2 linked regions of the Stegostoma tigrinum genome follow. The protein of the gene in region 1 interacts with the protein of each later gene in a biochemical or structural test. Links are inferred from orthologs where the notes say so. Each region holds a gene or a part of one and is shown in the gene's direction. Other genes may lie near its edges.

Region 1 (7,423 bases):
CGAGCAAGTAGAGAATTAACAAGACCGTGCACTGGAAGAGAAAGTGAATTAGAAATACAAATCCAAATACTTGGATATAGGCAAAACTTTCTAATATGTACAAACAGGTCAGATCATATAAAGTCATTTACTGATCATGGTGCTATATTGTGAAGGAACAGAAGTCAGCTCAGGCCAATGTACAAATCACTGACCATAGTTGAAGAGAACGAGGAAGAACACTCTGATGATAATATGTAGAATGATAGCAATGAACAGCAAGACAACCAAGTTTTCAAAAATGTCTAACAGAAAACAACAAGTATGTCTCCAGTTGCAGACACGATCACCAGATCAGGACTAGTTATCAAACCTCAAAAGCATTACATTGCTTTCTGAAATGTTAGTCTTGCAAACTCTGTTTTACATTGTCTATATGATTATTCAATTAACAACACATAGATCATAGATCATAGATTCCCTACAGTGTGGAAACGGGCCCTTCGGCCCAATAAGTCCACACCGAGCCCCACAGCATCTCACCCAGATCCACCCCACATAACCCACCTAATCTACACATCCCTGAACATGACGGATGGAATCAAACCTGGTTCCTTTGCACTGTGAGGTTGCAGTTCTAAACACTGCGACACCATGCCGTCCCATTAATTGATGAAAACAACTGTCGCCAGGCAAAAGCAAGCTCAACATTCAGCAGACTCATCCATAGAAATCCATAGAAACCCTAACCCTATCGCAGCCTCTCTGATGAAGGGTCTAGGCCCGAAGCGTCAGCTTTTGTGCTCCTGAGATGCTGCTTGGCCTGCTGTGTTCATCCAGCCTCACATTTTATTATCATAGAAATCATGGAGTTGGTTTTGAAACATATATCAAAATTTACCAGGCAGCAGTCATCACATGCTCATGTAAAACCATGTTCATCTATTTGATTTTGCTTTGTCTTAGGAAAAGGGCGGTGTTGTGTTACATACCAGAATCAGCATGTCAGCATTTTTTTTAGATTAATTCCCTACAGTGTGGAAACAGGCCTTTCGGCCCAACAAGTCCACACTGCCACTTGAAGCATCCCACCGAGGCCCATCTCCCTATAACCCACACACCCCTGAACACTACGGACAATTTAGCATGGCTGAGCCACCTAGCCTGCACATCAGTGAACTGTGGAAGGAAACTGGGGCACCCGGAGGAAACCCACGCAGACACAGGGAGAATGTGCAAACTCCACACAGACAGTCATGCGAGGTGGGAATCAAACCCGCGTCCCTGGTGCTGTGAGGCTGCAGTGCTAACCACTGAGCCACCGTGCCGCCCTAAAACATGACTTCCTGAGGCTGAGCACTAACCGGACCAGGAAATATAGGCTGCCTCCAGACTTGAACTCGGATCGCAGTGTTCAGAAACCCACGTGCTCACCATTACACCATGGCAGCCGGAGCGTGTTTTTAAGAGATTTGCTAATGATATCATCACTGTTTCATTGCATATGACAAGAGTACAAATGTCTCATCCTCCATCTACCTTGGATCACTTGAAGCATGACGCTCCACTAGAAGCATGCTCCTCTGATGTAACCTAATAGCTTAATATTAGCACTGACACATATATGCCTGAGAAATGTAATATTTATACCTAATAGTTATAATAAACATCTGCTAGATTCTTCAATACTATGTTTCAGTTAAAATACCGTGCTGACAAACTAGGCATTAGACAAACTAACGCCACATCAGTTGCAATGAGTTGGCACTATATTGGCATAGGGGCTACAAAGTGTGTGGACTGAGTACAGCAGCATTGAGGCTTTCAAGTATCATGAGTGCATTTATGGGCACAGGTAGGAATGGAGAGTAAGTGGAGCTCTGGGGTTAGGTTCAGTGATGAATTTAGGAACACGGTTTGGCATGGATGGGGACGGGTCTACGAGGGGCATGAGGGCTGTTTTATGATATTTTTAAACTTCAACAAATTGCTAAACTCAGAGGATCCTGCCAACTCCACACTTACCGGCCTCTGTGTTTGTCATGCAGCCCATCTTGCATAACACCTGCAAGCCCCAAAATGAAAATCCCGGCTGCCTCCTGGAAATTGTCCTGATTCTAAGCTCTTGACCTAATAGTGAAACTTCAGACTCAGGTCTACATTCTACTGGAGAAAATTCTCCTGAACACGAGTGGAATTCTCTTTCCCCTCTTTGCCCTCTACACTGCTACTAGCCAGTCTATATTTGTACAATTAAAGCCCTCTACTCTCTAAAATTTCTTTGGGAATTTGTTTTGCTGCAACTTTCCCGTTAGTTGGTAGTCAGAAGAACTACCAAAGCAAAGTAATCGCACAGTTTTTTTGTTCCTTAACTCTAACCAAATTGATTCTGTCCTTGACCCCTTTGGGACATTCTCATTTTCCAGCACTGAAATGCTCTTCTTGATTAATACCAACAGACCTTCCCTTTTCACAGTTTCCTCTCTTTCATGATCAGCTTGTATTCAGGAATATTAAACACCCAGTCTGGATGTTCCTTAAGACAGGTCTCTGCATATGTCCATAATACCAAACTTCCACATGACAATCTGTGCCTATCAACCTATTTACTACACTCTATGCGTTCCCATACATGCTTACTGACCTTGACTTAAACTATATTACTTTCTTCTTTATTCTCAACTCACCTGATAATTTACTCTTTCCCAGAATTTGTGCACCTTGATAGTCTTCTGTGATATCAGTTCCTGGTTCCCACACTCTCTTCATCCACTTTTTTTTCTTTGTCTTATTCCTTTCTTCCTCTTCTTTTCTCAGTTTTTAGTTTTAGCTCAAACTTACCTGATAAAGAGAGCTCTTCAGTAGGAAGGCATTTTCAATAAGCTCCAGAGCGGAGGCAGCATCTTCAGAGGCAAACTTCAGGTAAGTTTGAGCTAAAACTAAAAACTGAGAGAAGAAGAGGAAGAAAGGAATAAGACAAAGAAAAAAAGTGGATGAAGAGAGTGTGGGAACCAGGAACTAATATCACAGAAGACTATCAAGGTGTCTACAGAGTCGGCCAGCCTATGAAGCCTGCAGTGGGCCCCTGGGGGGGTGGGGGGGTGGCAGCACGGCACAGGCTGGTGTAGTACGGAGTGAGACTTTGGCAGCGGCATGGCATGTGCTGGGAAACCTGGAGCATGACTTGGGTGGCGGTAAGGCATGGCAGGGAAGCCCAGAGTGGGATTTTGAAAGCGGCATGCTATGGACTGGTGAAGCAGAGAAGGAAAAGTTGGGCTCTCTTTAAGTTATCTTTCTTCACTTTTTATTTCAAATGAATGTGAATGGTGTCTATGCATGGCAAAGGTACACACTTTTCACTGTATTTTATACTGAATACATGTGACAATAAATGATTTGCTTCAATTCACTTCAGATCAAAGGAGGCAGACCCTGACAGGGGCCAAGGGCAAACAGTGGAAGGAACGTGCAAAGATTTAAGTGTCTCAGCCATCCATTCACCAGCTTCAGCAAACAGCACTGTCCCAACTACAAAAGGCTTTGTGGATCCAGCACTGGACTTTTTACTTACTTCAGGACCCACAACACCAGAACAGAAGATCATGTCCAGAGTGTGTCTTGATGGACAGAATCCATGTTGTGGCAGAGGGAAGAGCTGTCATTCTCGATTCTGAAGGACTGCCTGAGGAGAAGGATATGAAATTGACTGAGAAAAGGTTCTAGTTTGACCTTGTTGGCTGGAAACAAATGCTGAAGAAAAAGTGAATCTTTAAAGCCAAGTGGAAGTCATCTCCTGACAAATTGTTTTTCAAAAAGATGTGCTTGTCCAAAGGAATTGTTTGGGATGCTAGGGAAAGGTAATGTTGCTTTTTGATGGTTCAAGAGATTAAGGTCATTAACAGTCCCATTGAGCTCACCTGAGGGAGCTGGGAATCCCATTTTCCCAAAGCACTTTCCTTGGGATTCCTTTTTCAGCTGGTTTGAGGTGATAGACCTGGCACTGTCTATGGGCACTGTGTAGATCTGCTCGTTCCAATGTCAAATGCTGCTAGTGAGAATTACAGCACCAGGGGCAGCTCTTTGAGGAATTTGACAGTCATTCCATTACAGGAAAGGTGATGACAGAGGTGAGATGTCGATGGTGGACAATGTCAACGGATGGTAGAATCAGGAGGTGAGTCTGTAAGAGACGGATTTGAGTCTCTGCAGGCAATGAAACTGAGAAAGGTTGAAGATGGAGAGGAAGAGAGGAGAGAAGCTAATGAGTGAGGGGGTAAATTGGTGGAAGGTGGAGACTGGAAGAGGGGAGAGTCGGAGGAGGGGTGTGGGGACGCTGAGGGAGGGAGATAGGCGAAGGCAGAGGGAGGTGGGACTGAACCTGACGCTGACTCCTCCCTGGGCACTGTCCTGAACTCGTGTCTCCACCCACATCCTCTTTCTCACTTCCTCATTGCGATCTGTGACTCAAAAGAAAGTGGACCGTCGGTAGGTTCCCGGTCTGGCCGTGTCTCCGGCTCCGCAGGTAAGGGGAGCCGCAGCTTAATGTTGGGTTTCTGACAGTGCTTGATTCGGACTAAGCTCTGCTTTGTAAAGACCCCCGTTGTTAGCAGTTTGCCTGAGGAGCAGGTTGTTTCACGTTGACTCACAGGCTGTAAACCTGCGGTTAAAGTTTTGGGAAAGATTGCTCAATGCACAACGTTTCAAAACATTGTGTAGTACCCGACAAATAGGTGCTAATTTCAAATTTTAGGATAACCAGGAGATCAATACGTTACCAGAAAATTCATTTTAATTTTCACGCCAGTTGTTTATGTTTTATATAATTCATTCACGGAGCGTGGGCGTCACTGGCTATACCAGTATTTATTACCTATGCCTAATTGCCTAGAGGGCAGTTAAGAGTCAATACTAGGGAGATAGCAAGAACTGCAGATGCCGGAATCACACTGCGGTGTGGTGGTGGAGGAACCCGGCAGACCAGGCAGCATCGGAGCAGTAGGGAAGTTGACGTTTCAGGTCAGGACCCTGGATCTGGAGTCACATGTAGGCCAGACCTGGTGGTCTAAATTCAGACTATTCTCCAGTTCTTGCTTGAAATGATTAGCAGTAATAGCTTATGGGGTTGGTTAATACTCTTGTTATTTATAATTTCTTCATAGTGATTTGGGGGTTAGATCACAGGTCAATCCGGTGTTTGGCTATAAGATGTAGGGGCAAAATTAGGCCACCTGGCCCCATAAATCAGCTCCACCAGTTGATCATGTTTCTCAAATCCATTCTTCAGCCTTCTCCCTGTAATCTTTGGTCCCCTTTACAGATCAAGAACTAAGTCTGACTTAAATACAACAGTACATATTGGAAGTATAGGACAAGTTGAATCTGACCACAGATAGTGATCAAGTCTGTTTTCACCAACATCCATATATCCACACATCTCAGCTGGGTACTCGAGTTTACTCCCTCAGTCCAAAGATGTGCAGGCTAAGTGGATTGGCCGTGCTAAATTGCCCATAGTGTTCAAGGATGTGTAGATTAGGTGGGTTTGGGGAATGAGTCTGGGTGGGATTCTCTGAGGGTCATTGTGGACTTGTTAGGCCACTGTAGAAATTCTATGGATCAGCAACATGAACTAAGCGTAGGTGTTCGACAAAGCTTTGTGGAACATCTAGGCTTGGTTCATGACAAATGACTGCACCTCCCAGTCGCTAACCGCTTCAACTCCCCTTCCCATTCCTTGGACGACATGTCCATCTGGGCCGCCTCCAGTACCACAACGATGCCCCCGAAGGCTGCAGGAATTGCACCTCATATTTAGTCTGGGAACCCTGCGGCTCAATGGAGTCAATGTGGACTTCGCGAGCTTCAACATCTCCCTTCCCCTGACCTCATTCCAAAACCAGCTCAGCTCATGTCTGCCTCATTGACTTGTCTGTCTTTTCTCCCACCTATTTGCTCCTTCCATCTCACTGATCAACCCTCATCCCTGCCTCCTTGACCTGTTTGTGCTCCCTCAACTGAGCAATCCCCATCCCAAATCCCTACGTACACTCAACTTTACTGGCTCAGTCCCTGCTGCCTCGACCTGTCTGTCTTCTCTCCACCTATCTGCTCCTTTATCCAACTTCCATCATCGCCTCCCCACCTCTCGTTCTTTTTTCATTGTCCCCTATCCCTCCCCCATTTCTGAAGAAGGGTTCAGACCCAAAATGTCAGCTTTCTTGCTCCTCTGATGTTGCCTGGCCTGTTGTGTTCATCCAGCTCTACACCTTGTTATCTTTAACTAGCAACTGTTTTTATTACTTGAGAGGATTGTGGCTCTAAACTGCCCACACTTCTGGAGCTGTGAACCTTATCTCTAGCACAAATGGGACATGTCAGATTAATTATAGCCTCATAAATCTTCATCAAGATAAGAATGGGGAAAAGTAGAGTGGCTAGAAGCAGCTAAATAATAGTCTTAATCTTAGTGACAGAGAAGTTGCTGAACTCTTGGACTTACTGGAGGGAATTTAAGGAGCTCAGAATGGAGTTGAGGAGATAGTAATGCAGAAAAGGAGTAGGGTTAATTTTGTTCTCCATAATGGTACTGGTTAATAAGTGAATGGCCACACAGGGATTGATGTGGCCCAGCTAGATCTGATGATGAATTGCTAAACTAGTTCTGTGTTGGACCTATTCAAGTCTGTGTCCTTTCTGATTGTGTGAATAAAGATGGGACAATATTAGAAAATACTAATAAAGAATTTTTTTTACAACTGGAATTGCTGCTAAATAGGGAGATAGCGAAGTAACTAAGCACTTGGACAGTAGTGGAAATATCCTGGTGAATAGGCCGCTTAAGGGTTTGAAAAAGTTGCTTCCACGGTGAATGCAGAAGGATGTTGCTTGAGAAAGTGGAAGTGGAGCATGGGTTGCACGAGAAAGTGAACAGAAATTCTCACTAATGTTCTGTGGTCGAGACAACGAAACTGGAGAAGCTGGGAAGCTGGAAAGGACAAGGGAATGGCCATGACTCTGTGAAAGTTAGAGACAGAGGATGGCAGTGAGATCAAAGAGAAACGGCAATATTGTGGATTGAGGTCGAAATCCATACAGTCTGAATTGTGTCTTAGTATAGGGAACAAGGGGGAAAAAAAGATTGAAGGAATGTCTTTGAGAGAACCTTTGAGTGAATGGGAGAGTGTGAACATTTTGGAAGGGGTATGGTGGAAGTGTGAGGACCTCAAAGGAGGAGAAGGTGCCTTGAGCATTTAGTGGGAACAATCAAGGTACTTTGGAGTGCAGGTACATAGTTCCTTGCAGTTGGAGTTGCAGGGACACAAGATTGTGAAGAAGGCTTTTAGCATGCTTGCATTGAGTATAGAAATTGAGCTAACAAGGTGCGGAGCTGGATGAACGCAGCAGGCCAAGCAGCATCTTAGGACCAGGAAAGCTGACATTTCGG
Region 2 (6,929 bases), on another chromosome or scaffold:
ATAACCAAATAATCAGCACCCTCGTCTCATGCTGTGTGCAATTGTGTCCTTTTTTTCTCAAGTCTGCTTCTTGCATCCCTCTGCTGAGTACAAAATGAAAAGGTTTAACTTCTTACTGGCAACATGGAAAATGAGAACAGGACTAGGCCACCTCTTAATCCAACTCAATATACTGTTATTGCTTATCCCCCTACCTTTTCATCTCTTTAGGTGTAAGAACTAGATCTAACACCTTCTTGAAAACATTCAATCTTTTGACCTCAACTGCTTCCTGTGGCAGTGAATTCCAAAGGATCGCTACTGTCTGGGTGGAGAAATTTTTCATCTTAAATGAAAACCTACCTCATCTCCTTGCACTGTGACTCCTGGTTCTGGATTCCTCAGTCATCAGGAGCATCATTCCTGCATTTGCATTGTCTGGTCCTGTTAAAATATTTATAGGTTTCTATAAGCTACCCCTTGATTATCTAAACTTGCCCCCTTTAGCAATGTTTTAAGTACAATAATATTAAAACATATTAAGCCCTGAAGCCTCATCTTCTACATGAATGTTTACACATCAAATAGTAACTAATTTGATATCATTAATATTGTCTTCAAATCCGTTCTACACAGCTTTGTATACCACTCACTATTTTAGTTATTTAGTTAGATTCTACACAAACAGCAGAAAAAGTACAGCTGTTAGATAGCTGGGTTTGAATTCAAAACAGCATTGTAACTGAGGGTCTCAAGAGGTCATAACGGATACACGTTAGTGGATTCACTTGATCTAAGTTTAAATTGCTGCCACCTAGTGTGCTTTCACAGGATACAGAATTTTAGAACATTTTTCTCATTCATGAGCCTATCTTTCTGTAAAGTTGAGCTCACTCAGAACTCAGTTCATTATATCCTGTCCAAATCACTTCAGAGCCAAGATGTTACCTCTGTAATGATACAGAATCAAAGAATTGTTACAGTGCAGATGACAGCTATTCAGCTCATATTTGCCTCTGTGCTACAAACAATTACGAATCACTGAGTACCATACTCCTGCCCTTTCCCCATAATCCTGCACAAACTTCCTTTTTTGATTACAGTCTAATTCCCTTTTGAATGTTTCAATTGATTTTGCCTCTACCATACAATAAGTGCATTTCAGACCTTATCCATTAGTGCAAAAATATCTTCATGCCCTACAAACCTCCAAAAAAACTCTTCTGAGCTGCAAGTGTCTTTGAAGTACCTCAAGGACTGAACACCATTATAGGTTATCACCCTCTGATACAGGAGCCTGTTCTCACATACAAGAACGTTACGATTGCACTACAGATGGTGTAATGCAAATTCATTAGGATGTTGCCTGAGCTGGAGTGATTCAGCTATGAAGGGAGACTAAGTAACTGCAGGTAGTTTGCACGGAGAAGATTGAGAGATGGGTATGTGTATGAACCCGATTTGAGGTGTATAAAGTTCTGAGGGCGTTGACAGGACAGATCGGGAGAAACATTTCTGCTTAGCAGAAGGGTCAATAACTAGGCTTTTAAAGGTAAAGAGCAGGTGGTTTTGAGATTTGAGGATCTTGTGATTTTCCTAGAAGTTGGTAGGTAGCTGGAACTCTGTCTAAAAGGGGTAGTACAGACTGGAACCAGCAAGATATCGAAGACACACAAGGTTACACTGCAAAGAACTGGAAAATGGGATTAGAACAGATAGATGACTCATGACAATCACAGAGACAATAGGCAGAAAGGTCTTTTTTTCCATGCTGTAAGAACTATATGACATGACTATGCCATTTTATACTGTTTATTGCACCAGTCCATTTCATAGCTATATTGAAACTCGAAGCCTAAACACTTTTGATATTGCAACCCAGCTTTACGTGCCATGCTGAAGATAAACACAGCCTACTGGCAGTGCACCTTCTATGCCACCTCTCAACTTGGTCTGTGCCAGCCAGTTTTGAATGGGTGGATTCCAACAACAGTTGGAGGGAGCAAAAAGAATGGCAATTGCTGGAAAAGCTCAGCAGATCTGGCATCATTTGTGGACTGAAATCAGAATTAATGCTTCTGGTTCAGTGAGCCTTCCTCAAAACTGCTGGTAGGTAGCAAAATGTCCATTTATGTCCAGTAAGGGACAGGAGGGAGTAAAGGATAAGTGGAGAGAGAGCCCAAAGAGAGAGAGAGAGAGAGAGAGAGAGAGAGAGAGAGAAGAGCCCTTAGACAGACAAAGGAGTGATAATGGAACAAAAACAAAGTTGCTGGAAAAGATCAGCAGGACTAGCAGTACCTCTGAAGGAAAAAACTGAGTTAACGTTTCAGATCCCGTGACCCTTCCTCAGAACTGTTTCTGATTTACAGCATCCACAGTTGTTCTGGTTTTTATTTAAAGGAGTGATAATGATCTGGCTTCCAGCTATTAATGGGGATTCTTAGTTGCTAACAATGGGTTGTGTAACGTCAGCCTATGCGATGGCAAGGCCTGGTTGTGGGGGGATTGGCGTAAGTATATGGGAGAGCTCAAGCCCTAAAGTTGTTGAACTCGATAAGAGTCCGGAAGGTAGTAGGAACTGCAGATGCTGGAGAATCTGAGATAACAAGGTGTAGAGTTGGATGAACACAGCAGGCCAAGCAGCATCAGAGGAGCACGAAGGCTGACATTTTGGGTCTAGACCCTTCTTCAGAAATGGGGGAGGGGGAAGAGGATTCTGAAATAAATAGAAAGAAAGGGGAGGTGGATAGAAGATGGAATGACAAGAAGATAGGCAGAGAGGAGACAGACAGGTCAAATAGGCAGGAATGAAGCCAATAGAGGTGAGTGTAGGTGGGGAGGTAAGGAGGGGATAAATCAGTCCAGGGAGGACGGACAGGTCAAGGGGGCGGGATGACGTTAGTAGGAAGGAAATGGGAGTGCGGCTTGAGATGGGAGGAGGGGAAAGGTGGGAGGAAGGACAGGTTAGGGAAGCAGGGACAAGCTGGGCTGGTTTTGGGATGCAGTGGGGGGAGGAGAGATTCTGAAGCTTGTAAAGTCCACATTGATACCATTAGGCTGCAGGGTTCGCAAACAGAATGAGTTGTTGGGTTGCAGGAACAGCATTTCATATTCCACTTGGGAACCCTGCAGCCCAATAGTATCAATGTGGACTTCACAAGCATGAAAATCTCCCCTCCTCCCCCCGCATCCCAAATGCTTGGCCTGCTGTGTTCATCCAGCTCCACACTTTTATGTTGGCTCTTGCAGCATCTGCAGTTCCCATTATCCCAGCTCATCCCCAACTCCTCCTTCCTCCCACTTCAAGTCCTACCCCCATCTCCTACTTACTGACCTCATCCCACCCCCTTGACCTGTCCATCATCCCCAGACTGATCTATCTCCTCCCTACATCCCCAAATACACTCAGCTTTATTGTCTCAATGATGATGGATACTTGACCAGAAGGGGAAAAAAAGAAAATTCAGAAAGCATGCTTTGTAACAACAGTTCTACAGGAATATTAAAAGTGTTCACCAAATGGTTACAGCACATGAGACAGCCATTTAGCCCATTGTGCCAGTGCAATAATTCTGCAGAAGTTAAACTACTTGCACTCTCCTGCCTTTATTCTACAATTTTTCTCTAGATAATAATCCAATTTCTTTTTCTTTCCTTTCAATTTGCCCACACTCCCCCCACTGCATCCTAAAACCAGCCCAGCTTGTCCCCGCCTCCTTACCTACCCCGTTCTTCCTCTCACCCATCCCTTCCTCCCACCTCAAGCCGCACCTCCATTTCCTACCTACTAACCTCATCCCGCCTCCTTGACGGGTCCGTCTTCCCTGGACTGGCCTATCCCTCCCCACCTAAATTCTCCTCTCCACCTATCTACTTTTCTCCATCTTCGGTCCGCCTCCCCCTGTCTCCCTATTTATTCCAGAACCCTGTCCCCATCCCCCTCTCTGATGAAGGGTCTAGGCCCGAAACGTCAGCTTTTGTGCTCCTGAGATGCTGCTTGGCCTGCTGTGTTCATCCAGCTTCACACTTTGTTATCTGCGACTAGAATTGGCAAGTTTGCAATGTACGCGGAGCAGCAAGCCACACGTGGTTAAGCCAGAGGAAAAGGAATCAGAAAGTAACGCTTTACACATTCCATACTTTATAACATCGCATTCCATTTCAGAACACGCACTCATCCCAGACACCCACGCCTGCGCAACTACGGTACATGGTCATAGTCTCCTTGTCCTTGTCACGCCTCTTCTCCCCCCGCCCGCAACTACGCATGCTCACAACGCCATTTCAAAGTTACGTGCCTGACCAGTCTCGGAATGAGCGGATTGGTCAGTTTGTGCGAGGTCATGTGGCTTGTTTTGAGGGGCGAGGGGAAGGCGGTAGCGCAGCCAATCGGTGGCGCGGGAGCGAAATTCAAACGGGGACAGAGCAGCGCGATTGGCTGGAGCGGGGAGAGTTAACGGCAGCGGAAAGCCGCTCCGATTTTACAAACATAGGTGCAACATGCTAGCCGCTCACACTGTTACCGGGGCGAAGCCTCGGCAACCCCTGTCATACGCCGGTACTTTAGTGCTTTTGGGGCGAGTGGTTTCCACCGGGTCACTTACAAATGTTGCTCCGGGGTTAGGAAGGAACGGTCGATCGAGGCGGTTGTTTTATTTCTATGTTAACGTTGCTGGTGCTGTTGCCGCTTCAGTTTGCTGGCCGTTGCTAAAAATGTGGTTGCACTGATGGTGTCATGACTGCTTCTTTTTTGCCTTTACCCCACCCCCAGATCAAAGGCGCCAGAAATTAGAAGAGTATCTGCAGAGAAAGAAGTCTGCTAACAACGTGGCGATTCGAGCTAGGAGCCGTTTGGAAAACAGGTGATGGATGATCTCTGTGTGTATTAAATTGAGTTGCCAGTGAAATCACACTCCCCTCCTGCCCACACCTTTATCTCGGATTCTCCAGCATCTGCAGTTCCATTATCTCTTGACACTTCTAAATCCTGCTTTCAGAGGTTCCCCAGTTTGAGCTCCACCACAATATCTAATTCTGTGCATCGAGAGGCATTCCCTAACCTTCTGTGTCAATGCTTCTACCTGTTTTAAAATTTTGGCAATAACTGCTGGGGTATGGGAGATTTTGAAGCCATCACTTTTTTGCTGCAAGCGCAATAAATAGATTCAAATGCAAAAAGGCTTACTATGTTCCTTGACATTTTAAATCTTGTATTGTTTCCCCGCCCCGGGTGCGACATACCAGCTTTCTATTTTATTTGAGCCGTCATAATGTGCCCTTTATCTTTGCAGATTCTGTATTTCCAGCAGAGTTATACCCTAGGTCGAGGCTGGTTTGTTAAGTCGATTATAAGGTTCAAATAGTTCTAATCAGTAAGGGAATCAAGGGTTATGGGGAAAAGACAGGAAAGAAGAGTTGAGATAACAAGGTGTAGAGCTGGATGAACACAGCAGGCGAAGCAGCAGATGAGCAGGAAAGCTGACGGTTCGTGCCTAGACCCTTCAGAAATGAGTTGAAGAATTGAGGTTTATTAGATCAAGTCATGATTTCATTGAATGTTGAAACAGACTTGATGATCTACTTCTGTGTCTCATGATCACTGCTGTTGGTTGTTCAGTAAGTTGTGTCTCTGGCTTTCTGCAGTAAGATATGCTTGTTTGGTTTTTTATTGTAGTTCTGTAAATTTATTTATCTTCAAATAATTATCCAATTCTCTTTTGAAAATCATGTTTGATCTGCCTTCACTAGGCACTCTAGATTGTATATTTCCAGATGTTGGAATAACCTGTGTGTAAAAACAATCAAATCTGTCTTCATTTAGTTCTTTTGCCACTTACCCTTTCTAATCTTAGTTTAGACCATTTTGCTAAAGGGAACAACTACATTTTACTCTGTCCATACCTCTTGTGATTTCAAACACCTAGAAACTCCTAAAACACCTAAAGAGAATGGCCCCGGCTTCTGCAATTTGCCTGTGTAGGCAAAGTCCTTATACCTCCGCAGCAGCTAAAGCCATCTCCGCTTTCCAAATGTACTTTGGATATCTATTCCAATGTCCTTGCAATCAAGACCGCTTGCCTTCCTAATTGCTTGTTGTACTTGTGCCTTACTTTAGTGCTCCTCGGACAAGAAATTTATTTACATCTATGCTGGTAGCATTCTGAGTAACATTTGTTTATTTTCTGATTTAGTTCTATTCCAGTAACTTCGTATATAACCTGATGAGGTTATCTGGTTCACCACGATTTAATGAGCATCAGTTTATAATTTGCAATCTTATCTTTTCACTCCCTTCATTTGAAATTGTACAATGCTGTCTTGTCATTGTGATGTCATGACAGTGAAAATGTCTTTTCAAAAATGTTTCCCCTTATAGATGTTGAACTATTTTTAATGCTAATGGTAAGTGTATTTGTTTTCTTTAAGTTATTTGATTTGAAGGAGGCAAGCAATTTCTGACTACAATATTTTCCTGATTTATACTGATCATCATTTTCTTTTGAAGGGTGTATTTGAGAGACAAGACAAACATCGAGAAACTTCAGGCTTCTACAAGGCAGAAAGAGGCAATGGTAGGTACTGGAAGAAAAATATAGATTTCCTCCTTTTTCATGTGTTCTATCTTTGGATAGAAATTGCTCTGTTGGCTTTACATTTGAAAGCTTTACAGTTGTAGTTTTACAGGACAGTCTGTCCCAGGTTGTAAACAGGTTCCGTAGTTGAGTCCGTTCACAAGTTAATTTGTACGCAAGTTGGGACACAATGCAGAACAATATAGAAAGTACAGAAAGTGTTTACGTATTGGATTTTCAAAATTATTACATTGTCTGGGATCATGCTCATAAGTACGAGTGTTCATTAATTGGACATTTGAATTCAGGCCCCTATGTACTTTCCGTTGATAAATGTAAAGAAGTAAACACTTTTTTTTTCATTTGAATTACTCAGTA

The links.
Region 2: the proteins of lrrk1 (region 1) and cytoskeleton-associated protein 2-like form a complex in vitro, tested with the Homo sapiens proteins (2 studies listed by BioGRID and IntAct, with this or other methods). The link is inferred for Stegostoma tigrinum from reciprocal best matches to the Homo sapiens genes LRRK1 and CKAP2.

What each region holds. Positions count from the first base shown.
Region 1 is NC_081386.1:1,579,977-1,587,399, reverse strand, and holds the start of lrrk1 (leucine-rich repeat serine/threonine-protein kinase 1), read left to right. Parts: upstream 1-4,401; 5' UTR 4,402-4,501; intron 4,502-7,423.
Region 2 is NC_081359.1:88,411,861-88,418,789, forward strand, and holds the start of cytoskeleton-associated protein 2-like, read left to right. Parts: upstream 1-3,927; 5' UTR 3,928-3,969; coding exon 3,970-4,096; intron 4,097-4,119; exon of another isoform or gene 4,120-4,209; intron 4,210-4,409; exon of another isoform or gene 4,410-4,479; coding exon of another isoform or gene 4,480-4,537; intron 4,538-4,750; coding exon 4,751-4,841; intron 4,842-6,484; coding exon 6,485-6,551; intron 6,552-6,929. UniProt on the Homo sapiens protein: Possesses microtubule stabilizing properties. Involved in regulating aneuploidy, cell cycling, and cell death in a p53/TP53-dependent manner.